Linked DNA regions of Oryzias latipes. The protein of the gene in region 1 purifies or fractionates together with the protein of each later gene. This does not show direct contact. Links are inferred from orthologs where the notes say so. Each region holds a gene or a part of one and is shown in the gene's direction. Other genes may lie near its edges.

The links.
Region 2: the proteins of dmd (region 1) and sntb2 purify together in Homo sapiens (co-immunoprecipitation; 4 studies listed by BioGRID and IntAct, counting the BioPlex papers as one, with this or other methods). This does not show direct contact. The link is inferred for Oryzias latipes from reciprocal best matches to the Homo sapiens genes DMD and SNTB2.
Region 3: the proteins of dmd (region 1) and sntb1 purify together in Homo sapiens (co-immunoprecipitation; 4 studies listed by BioGRID and IntAct, counting the BioPlex papers as one, with this or other methods). This does not show direct contact. The link is inferred for Oryzias latipes from reciprocal best matches to the Homo sapiens genes DMD and SNTB1.

What each region holds. Positions count from the first base shown.
Region 1 is NC_019860.2:218,207-221,819, forward strand, and holds the end of dmd (dystrophin), read left to right. Parts: intron 1-260; coding exon 261-375; intron 376-453; coding exon 454-543; intron 544-1,918; coding exon 1,919-1,944; 3' UTR 1,945-1,947; intron 1,948-2,074; 3' UTR 2,075-3,059; downstream 3,060-3,613. UniProt on the Homo sapiens protein: Anchors the extracellular matrix to the cytoskeleton via F-actin. Ligand for dystroglycan.
Region 2 is NC_019864.2:27,643,414-27,647,067, forward strand, and holds part of sntb2 (beta-2-syntrophin), read left to right. Parts: intron 1-233; coding exon 234-456; intron 457-1,236; coding exon 1,237-1,447; intron 1,448-3,654. UniProt on the Homo sapiens protein: Adapter protein that binds to and probably organizes the subcellular localization of a variety of membrane proteins. May link various receptors to the actin cytoskeleton and the dystrophin glycoprotein complex.
Region 3 is NC_019874.2:10,569,652-10,573,305, reverse strand, and holds part of sntb1 (beta-1-syntrophin), read left to right. Parts: intron 1-32; coding exon 33-270; intron 271-3,654. UniProt on the Homo sapiens protein: Adapter protein that binds to and probably organizes the subcellular localization of a variety of membrane proteins. May link various receptors to the actin cytoskeleton and the dystrophin glycoprotein complex.

The sequences.
Region 1 (3,613 bases):
CGCCCTCTCCTGGTGAAAAGCTACTTCATTTGCAGTCTCAGACTCATCAGGGCGGCGTCCAGTTAAGTCCCGCCTCCAAACCCTTACATCGATTTTTCAAGGGGAGTGGTCGCTTCAACGCGCGTTTCTGAGCCCGGTGTGAACGCACGGTGAAAACCACGCCCCATGAGGTTTACTGTTGTCATGGCGACAACAGAAGCGTCTGAAAGTGTCACCAAAACCACCAGATTGATGAACATCAACAACTCTGTGTGTGTTAGACGGACTCCAAGGTGAACGGTACGGCCCTGTCCTCGCCCTCCACCTCCTCCCAGCGCTCTGACTCCTCCCTGCCCGTCCTACGAGTGGCCGCCAGCCAGACCACCGACACCATGGGTGAGTGCCGCCATGGCGCAGCGGCGTTGTCACGATCAGCCGCCGGGAAAACGCCAAACATCTGTTGATGCTTTGCAGGTGATGATGATCTGTCCAGCCCTTCCCAGGATGCATCTGGTCTAAAAGAAGTGATGGAGCAGCTCAACAATACCTTTCCTCACAGCCAGGGTGCGCTGTCTCCACTCTCCTTACTGCTGAGGTGTTGGGTGTTTGATCAGCTGACGTTGTCTGGACGTTGAGTCGTGGCGTCTGGGCTGACTGATGACGCTAAGTCCAGACGCCACGACTCAACCTGTGGACTTTTAGGAACTTTTAAGCTACAAGAATTAGAAATGTAGCGTCAGAGGATCTTTGTTTTCAGTTCTGTTTCCTGCTGTGAACTCGTGTCAGCTGAGACTTTAACGGTGGAGCTCTAGCTGCATGTTGACGTTCTTTGAAATGTTTTAACCCTTTGACTGTCTACAGCAGGGGTCGGGAACCTTTTTGGCCAAGAGAGCCATAAATGCCACATAATGCCATACAATAATGTAGCGTCCCTTTCCCACACTGAGGCACAGAGACTTAACTTCTTTTGAGGTTCTTTATTCTGGTTACTGCAGACCGCAACAAACGCCGTACAATTAATTCAGCAACTCCTTATTCTCTCCCGCCTAGACGAGAGCGTAGGTGTAGATGTGAGACAGACATAGAGCCAAACACACACTCACACTGCAGTGAGTGACGGGCAGCGGGTTTACGTTTTTACCATCCCTGCTGCCTGTACCCAGGCACGGCAATTCAAAGGTTTCCAGTTGGTACAAACTCTGTGAAATAATAGATAATAGTAACTGATAGCGCTGGCGCAGATTTTTCTCTCCAAGCACCGCTACTACTGCGCGCCTCTGGCATGGCATCAAACCCGAGATGGACTGGTCTAATGAAAAAAAAAGTATAATTAAAGATTTGTCTGCGAGCAACATGTGACCATCAAAAGAGCCATATATGGCTCGCCAGCCATAGCTTCCTGACCCCTGGTCTACACGGTTAACTGAAGCAGAGAGAAACAGCTTTGTGCTGACAAACACAGCTGTTGTATATCTTTATGAATGACATAAACAATCATAGAGCTACAATGACTCTGTAAGTCTGATACGATTCTGTCAATCACCTAGACCTCCGTAGAGTTACAGTAATTCTGTGATAATCTGATCCTAACTATGATAGTTAATGTAACAGAATACCAACAGATAGTGATGCTAAGAACGGCAGCTTGGCTCTTTTTTCCTTTTGACTCATCAGCCCAAAGCCGTTTTCTTTGAATTAATCTAAAATGATCATAATGTTACGGTGAGTGAAAGGGTGTGTGATATTTAGGCGTAGCCGCTGACATCGCTGGAGCTAAAAGCTTAACTCTGGAAAACTGCCCAAAGTTACCCACTAGTTAAGCCTCAGGTTAGCTCAGTTAAAAGGCACATCTGTTTTATTGGGGTGGGTGTGGGGGGTTCTCTGTTCATCCTAGCACTGCTCTGATCTTCTTTCTTGCGCCTGCTCTTCCATGGTCCAGGAGGGAGAAGGGGACATCATCTTTGAGCGGTCAGTGCCTCACTCCCCATCATCCATTTTTATTGCAGTGTGTCCTCCTGACAGACAGGGGGCAGCACAGGAGCAGGCTCATTCATGAGAACGTGACATCGCTAACGTCTGCTCTCCTCCCCGTCAGGTCCCAGCACCCCCAGCCATCATGGAGTCGGCGGTCATCGCCATGACAGACGCGCAGGACGCCATGGGACAGCCCTTTTGAACTCTAGCCCCGCCCCCTACATAAAGCATGCTTTTCTAGTCGAAACAACTGGATTGAAGAGTTTACAAAGAAATTCTAACATCTATTTTTGTGAATGATGGTTGTTGTAACTTAGACTGAGTAGTTTCTTAACGCGTCCTGACGTCATTCTCTGGTTTTTAAACTTCTATGCAAAACTGTAAAAAAACGGAGAGGGACAGACCGGATCTCTTTCTATTGACGAGCAGCCCGAGCATTTCACACATTTCTATCAAAAAATGATTGTAATAATACGTTTTCTAAGAGGACGCCGCTTCTGACTGATGTGTGTTTGTGTGTGACTACTGCATACCAAGGGTAACTGGGCAGGTAGAGCCACGCCCCTTTGTTTGAATGGCTGTTGGAGCCAAACTATAGGTGTTTGTCACCATCGTGGTAACCTGACATGCTAAGTACAGGTGCAGTCTGTAACTAGAGGGCGGGGTTGGACTTACAGGTGCAGTTTGGTTCCTACACCCGCTGTCCTCGGTCTCTGCCGTACTGATGTTGGTTTACAGACCAGACTGACAGAAGAAGGAAAATAGAAACCAATGCAATACAAAAACAGCTAAAGTATCAGACCCAACCAGGAGGATCCAAGTCCACGACCTGAAACAAGAACAACCCGTCCAAAAACGCAGCCCAAAACGATTTGACTCATCCGGCCCAAGCTGAACAAGAGCCAGACCAGACTCCGCCCCTTCCTGGTCTGGAGGTGTGTGTTGTGTGGAAGTGAACATCCTCAGCAGCAGCATGACCCGATGGTTTGTGCGTGAATCAACAAACGTCTGTTCTTCACGACATATCAGACTCCACCAAATGTATGCCTTACTACTGTATTACGAAATGCTTTACTATGTATCAATAAAGCACGCAGTTATGTCCAGCTGCTGGCGCCGTGGTGTTTGTGAGGCTGACGACCAGGTCCACAGGTTGACGGCTGGACTCTGGACTTGGTCCTCTTTGGTACATTTGGACAAAAAGCTCCATTTCTCTGCTCATCAAAGCAGCCTGAAGCCAAGAACCGTCTGACTGTTCAGAAACAACTATTGAAGTAAACCTGGATGTTTGAAAAGACTGAAGATGATGAGGGGAGGGACCCGCCTAACCCCTTCAGAGTCACAGGAGCCGACCTGGTTCCTGTTAAGTGAGGTTAGAGTTCACCATGGATGGGTTACCAGTGGACAGACACACTGGGGCTTTGGGGCTGTTTGGGGTCCAATGGACCCAGGATGCATGTTGTTGTAGACCAGAGGACATGTCCTCCACACAGGTGTTGATGCATAGATCCTTGATGAGTTCTTCTGTTTTTGCCATTTCTGCTCACATCTCTAACAAACTGTTGTAACGTTTACCCCCCCTGCACTCACATGAAAGAAGGGGGTGGGGCTAACCTTCGATCTGACCCTTTGTGTCTGATCTCCAAGGACATTTGGACCT
Region 2 (3,654 bases), on another chromosome or scaffold:
GTGCCTCTAAACAGGACCCTGGCAGCAAGAATACATGGCTTTGATGGCAGAACTCTCAGAACCACTGAGAAAATCAATGCCCCCAGCGGGTCTCTCACAAATTCTGCTCCTGATTCATGAAGAAAATACTCAGAAAAGTCATTTTCAGTGTATTTTCTTTATATATGGCCTCCATCATCAAAAAAATGCCACAAAAACACAATTTTTATCAATGGGTCTCCTTCTCTCCGCAGTGAAGTACATTCGTGAGGTGTCTCCGCTCTTCAAGAAACCGTCGCTGGTCGCAGACCTGCCGTGGGACGGCGTCCGCCCGCAGTCGCCCAGCTACAGCGGCAGCGAGGACTCGGGCTCTCCTAAACACAGCAGCTCCTCCTCCCCGTCCAAAGACAGGAAGGTCATCAGCCTGAAGATGTGCTTCATCAGCCGGAACCTCTCCATGCCGGATTTGGAAAACAGGTCCGGCGCTGCACACACATACCTGGGCGTGTGGGAGGTTAGGTGTGGTCTTTGTGGTGGGTTTGTGGCCATTTCCTGTTCATTCCTCTGGAATGTTTGCTCTTTAGGGAGCTCTGTGCAGCGGTCTATGAACTAAAACTGATGGGTCACATTCTGTAAAACATCTGCATTAGCAGCATCTGTCATCCGTTAAATAATGAAGCAGAAAAGCCTTAGTCATAAAAAATGCAATAACCTGGAATTTGGTTCATTTGCACACAAGAGACTTTCTTCATCTTTCTATTTTAGGTTTCCTGTCTGCTTTTATACGCCTGCCCTAAAAAATCACCTTGAAAAAAATCGTCATGGTGGAAATTAACCTTTCCCAAGACTCATAAAGGAGTTGGTTGTTCTCTCCCCTATATGTTTTAATTAATTAAAAAAAGTATCCCTTTTATTGACTGTATTCAAAGTGAAAACTGTCCCTTCTTTGAGACCTGGTTATCAGGTTATCAGTACAATAAGGAATCACGGAAAAGATTAAAAATGTTGAAAATGTACTGACAAAATGCTTTAAATATGAATTTCAAAGAAAAAAGATGCTCAATTTGAGGGAAATGTGTCCAAAAATAAACAAATGAATGGACAGAAACAAACTTCATTTCAGAATATGACAGATTTACTGATGTTGAGTAGTAAAAAATGAGAGATTCTGGTCAAGCCACCAGTTTTCCTTGTGTCTCTTTTCTTAATGAGAGCTGGATTTGGTGTCAGATCTTCCTTCGTTCTGGTTGCATTCAGGCTGCTGGAGCTCCACTCCCCGGACGGCCAGCACACGGTGGTCCTGCGCTGCAAAGACGGCCCCTCTGCCAGCTCCTGGTTCACCGCCATCCACACCAACATCGCCGCGCTGCTCCCACACACCCTGGCGCACATCAACGCGTACCTGGGGGCGTCGTCTGCCGCCCCCACTCACCCCCACCTCAAACACATCGGCTGGCTGGCTGAGCAGGTACATTTCTGTGAGATGCAGTCCGTGGTGCGTTTAGGACCAGGCAATGTTTTGCACACAAGACCCAGTGATGTGGTGCGTTAAGGACCAGGTGATCTGGTGCCTTTTTAAGCATCCTGATATTTTCTTGTCATTATACATGTCGGTATTGCAAAGAATTTCTCTAAAACAGGGGTCCCCAAACTACGGCCCACAGGCTGAACCGGCCCGCCCACCTATTTGACCCCGCCCCCTGAACAATACTAGAGAGAGACCCTTTATTTATTTTGGCATCATTATTTCTTTAGGCTGGCCACATGCTCGAGACTCATGGAAGCGTGGAAAACTGAATCGTTTTGGAATTGTTTCCTCACGTCGATAAGGCTTAACCCTTGTGCTATCCTAGGCACTTTAACTTTGAGAGTTGGGTCATCTAGATCCACTAGACTGAACCTTTTTGCTTCAATGATTTGTGATCTTCACTGGTGTCCGTGGATTAGATGAAATCCTCTCCACCTTTATCCACCTTTGTCATGGTAGGGAGAACACGTCAACGTAAGGCTCGGGTCATCTGGACCCCATAGGATAGCACAAGGGTTATTCAAATTGAAATGTGAGCCAAGCTAAAAATGTGGCTACTGCAACCTCACTTTGCCCCAGTCATAAAACGTGAATGTGGACCCCCCCTCCCCATGGATAAATGACAAAAAGGTTAGGTAATTGAAACACTGATCCAGAATGCAGGTATTTAAACTAGGAAGTTGATCAGAGAGAACATACAGTGGTGTCTACTAGACTAACCTCCTAAAAAAAACTCCAAAATGGATTATGGGGAAAGAACACAACAACTTTAAGAGATTCTGCTCTTACAACTGAAGTTGAACATTTACCTAAATTTGTGCATGGACAACAGAAACTTTATTTCTGAACAACCCACAGAGATTTATTTGGTTATTATTGATTTTCTAAAATCTAAAATACTGTTGCTTAATATTTCCTGACTTTTTATTTAAAGAATTCTGTTTTTTAACTGATTTCATAAAGAGTCTCATTATATATATTTGCTGATTATTATAATTTATTTATTTATTTGGTGAATAACCCAGAGAGGATTATTTGATATCAGATTGGGTTATCAACATTTGGTTATGTGTGGCTTTCAGTTGACATTTTGGCCCCCCTGCGACTGTCACACGTTTTCTGTTTCAAACTGACCCTGGCCCCCGATCCGAGAACGGAAACGTCATGTGGCCCTCGCTGGAAAAAGTTTGGGGACCCCTGCTCTAAAGTGTGTTAACATGAAAGTAGACCTTAAAACTGCATGAAAAACACATCAAAGCTTCATTTTCTGACACTTGTTTCTGCTTTAAAACACTAAAAACAACACAGCTCCTTCCCCTGTGGCAACTCAGCATTTAGCAGCGGCAAAACCCCAAAACGATTACCGGTAGTCAGAATCTGCTGGGAAAATGTTGAACCCTTTGACGCCTGAATCTGTTTCCAGCGATGAAAGAAAAATTGTCACTTTTGTTTTTTCTTTCGAGTCCTAAATGAAGGTAAGTTTGGAGCAGTAGTGGATTGATGGATATCGAGGGGTTAAAAAGTAATTAAAGTAAAGTAAATTTTCTCTGCATGAAGGTTAGATTGGATCATTTAAAAAACCAAAGGCAGTGACCACAAAGGGAGGCTATAGAAGTGACCAAAAACAAGGAACAGAGCAAAAGTTGGGTTAATTTACTGAACAGAGGGGTGGGAGTTGTTTATTTTAGGGACTTTCTTGATTAATGTTATTCAGTTAGTTTCATTTTGCCCCTCTGTGCAAACGACAAAACTTGTTTTTTTCTCTACTTTCAGTGAAAAACATTTATTAAACTAAAATCTGCACTTTTGCCTGTTCTACCATCCTTCAGAAAGGGAAAATATTTTAAACTGCCTTAAAAATGTTTTTTTTAAACTTGATAATTTAGTTAAAATTGGCAAAACATTAACTTTTTATCTCAAGATTTAAATGGAATTCTTCACTATAATATAATGTTTGTTTAGCAACTAAAAATCAGTTCAGGATTTAAATCCGTTTCCCAATCATTTTCACCTCTGAGACAACATTGTTCCCCCATTAATTTGCAAATGTTTAAGCATTTATTCCAAAACATATATATTATTTTTTAATTTGTAATTTATTTTGAATCATGTTTTAAGCATAGGAGCCACTTTATGAAGATATATTT
Region 3 (3,654 bases), on another chromosome or scaffold:
TATTGACTAAGCAATGCTTTTTTCCTTTCCAGTCAAATATATGCGTGAGGCCACACCGTATGTCAAAAGGGGTTCTCCTGTGTCAGAGATCAACTGGGAAACTCCGCCCCCTGAATCCCCCCGTCCTAGCAGCCCTCACATCAGCCCCTCCCCTGACCTTCCCAGTCCTTCTACCCCGCCTGCACCACCCCTGAATGGTGACAGGAGGTGCATACCCCTGAAGATGTGTTATGTAACACGAGGAATGACCACACCAGATCCTGAGAACAGGTAGGTGGAAGCTCCTTTGAGCAGTTTCCATCATTTTGTGTATAGCTTCTTCCCATTAAAATAATGTTCCTCTTTTAACAAAATATATTTTAAAATATATAACATGCATTATTGTTCTTAAACCTTTTCTAGCATTATGGTATCAGAGAAAATAAAAAGTCTAAAAACCTCCTCTAGTTAAAATCGTGGACATATATCCTCTAGATCTATATTCTCTGAATAGCAATACTTTAGTTGAATGGAAATACTTTGCTATGATTAACAATGTTCAAAAAAAGGGGGACTGAACAAGAAAAAGTTATCAATAATAGGAAATAAGGCAAAATCAAACCTTTTTTTTCTAACCAGACTGTATATATATATATATTTCTATTTTTGGTATCAATCTTAGCATAGACATTAATAGAAAACTATTCTCTTCTGAAACCCGCCCCCAGTGGTCATTTCAGGAACTGTGACTTTGCGTACCGGATTTTCTTGGTCAAAATGGAAGTGTTTTATTATCATGAAAGTTTAAAAATGATTCATTTTGTCAGGCTTTACTCAAGCACATTTGATTTTATTCCAGCCATTTTGGATGGTTCTGATTGACAGTAATATTCAGGTGAATGGAGACACAGGAAGGATTTTTTTCTTAGATTTAAAGCAGTCTGTTTCCGGCATCAGCCTCCACTTTAGTGTCCCTTCCACCACAGTGTTTTCTCTCCCTGTGAGCAATACTTTATCATCCATCCTCCCTGCTGCCTGTTTTTACCATCTTTCCTTCTTGTTTGTGCTTTCCTGCAGCTTGTGATTGTCCTATCCCCGTCTTCTCTTTCATCATCCGTGTTCCCAAAAGAAAGATGAGTTTCTTTTTCCATCAGGCTCTGAATCTCTCTTCATGATTTCGTTTTTCACTCTTCACAGTTCTGAGAGTTTCCCTGTTAATCAATCCCTTCATCGGCATGTCATTTTGTGCAGAACTAAACCTCGTGAAGAGAAGGAAAGAAACATCAACGACAAGCCACAGTAGTAAAATGTGACCCTGTAGGTCTAAAGTGTATATTTGCAGATCAGTTGTGATTAACCTGACAAAAACAAGAGGGCAAAAGGTTACCGTGATACCCAAAAATAAATGTTTCTTTTGTTGAATATGATTGTATGTCTAATTAATGAAGCTTGTTCTTAATTGGAAGCAGGCGGCAGGGTGATTTGTTGGTCAACTCACAGCCAGAAAGCTTCTCGTTGAAATCTCTGCAGGTATTTGGTTGAAGAATTTGATTTCACCCGCACAGCGTAAAAAGGATATAATTAGTTTATTATTTAAAACTGAATAAAGGTTTGAGTGCTGTTGTTCTTGTTGTGTTTTTTTAATGTTTATCTGTGTGTGGCCTTGTAATTAATTGGCAGCCCATATAGCCAATACTCTGCACCGATTGTGCCAGCAAATCCTGTGACCATGTAGAGGATAAAAAGGCTTATAGAAAACGAACAAAGGTGTAAAGCGGACACGAATATGCAAATTTACATAAGAGCTGTTGCTTTTAAACCTGAAAACTAAGATGTGAGAGACCAGCTGCAAATCTGCCTCTTTTCTCAAATCTGAAACAAAGGGTTAGATGATCAGTTTTAACTAGGCACATTTAATTAAGTCCTGCAGCAGTCATGGATTGCAAGGACCAGATTGTTTTCGCAATTAAGAAAAAAAAAATGCAGGAGGTCCAAAAAATCCTTAAAGATGAGGAATAAGCCCCAACAGACATGAACAGTGCGCAGTGCGAATGGCTGCATAACAATTTTCAGCCATTCAATATTGCTGCAGAATCTTCTATATTGTAATCGGAATTACTATCTATTACTATGGCTTGCAACAGTCCTGAGCTGCAATCCTTCGCAATTCTTCTTTCCTTCTATGCTTTTTATCAAAACCCCCCCCCCCCCCCCCCCTCCAGGTAGGTGGAAGCCCCTTTGAGCAGTTTCCATTATTTTGGGTGTAGCTTCTTTCCCTTTAGAATAATTTTCCTCTTTTAACAAAATTCATTTTAAAATATATAACATGCATAATTGTTCTTAAACCTAATTTTTCTTAAATCTAGAATATTTGAACCAGAGAAAAATAAATAGTCTAGAAATCTAAAGCAAAAACCGTGGGCATATATCCTCTGGATCAATATTGTCCGACTTCAACTATAGAAATCTGGACAGCAAAAACAAAGTTTAATGTTTAAGATTTAGTGTTGCATTGTTTTGATGTCTGTGCATTGTCATTGTTAAACAGCTAAGGGGTAAGAAAATCTGGGAAATTTTTATTGTTAGAGATTTCTTTTTGCACTTTGTGTTAGAAACTAGTGTTTTAATTTTTGTTTAGATAAAAAAAAGAGGGCACATTTTGTGTACATTTCAGGATAATTGGTGCTATTTATTTTCTTAATTTTTTTTCACTTAGAGTGCCTTTAATTTTTTTATAAAAAAAAAATTAAAGAATCTACCAAGTTTCTGCTGAAGAGCCTACAGGACAGCAGAACGTAACTGCAGATGGAAAACATCAATAAACAAATCTATTAAGAAATGACCATGAGCATTGCTGTTCCCATTAAAAAAAATGTCCCTGCCTGAATGATGACGATACATGGGATGTAGCATAATATGAACATACTAGATAAAAGAGTTTGATTCTGGATTTATTAACCTTTGATAGAACAACTTTTAAGTATTTAAACTAATGTTGATTAAATTTTACCAGAAATGGTACTATTTATTTTTGACACAGATTCTGAAGTTAATTCCTTATTAGACATTTTGAAGGCCTTTTAAATTGCATATTTTAATCAATGGCTTCATTTCTTGGGATCCAGCAGTTTTGCTTCAGCTCCATTAATCATTGAATTTCAGTTTCTTTGTGCGTTGGCTGTTTGTACCTTGCAAAGCGATCCGTTTCCTCTTCAGCTTCTTACAGAGTGCAATATTTTACTATTTCATTAGAAAATGTCATCATATCTTGTTCTTTACACAAATCTGTTGTGACCTGCTTTGAGTGAGGCTCTCTTGAAGCTTAATCTTCAGAGAAACCTTGTCTTTAATAATTCTGCTTTCAGTGCTCACTCTTCTCTGGTGTGTTAGTGTGTAGTTATAAAATCCAAATGATGATGTTTTAAGTCCTACTCCATTATTCCATTTATTATTGTGGTGTCTTTTTAAAGATCTTATTCTAGCACATCCATCTCCCACTGACTTACAGCATCCTGAAATTATTAATGCAGAACTTGTCATGTTTTTTTAACCTGCATTTACTCAAACTGTTATCTTTTTTTTACACTGAGATTTTCTAAAGAACCATTTGTCATCTATAGATCAATAATTTCATTTAAAATCAAAACAATCTTTATGAATCAAATTAAAACTTTA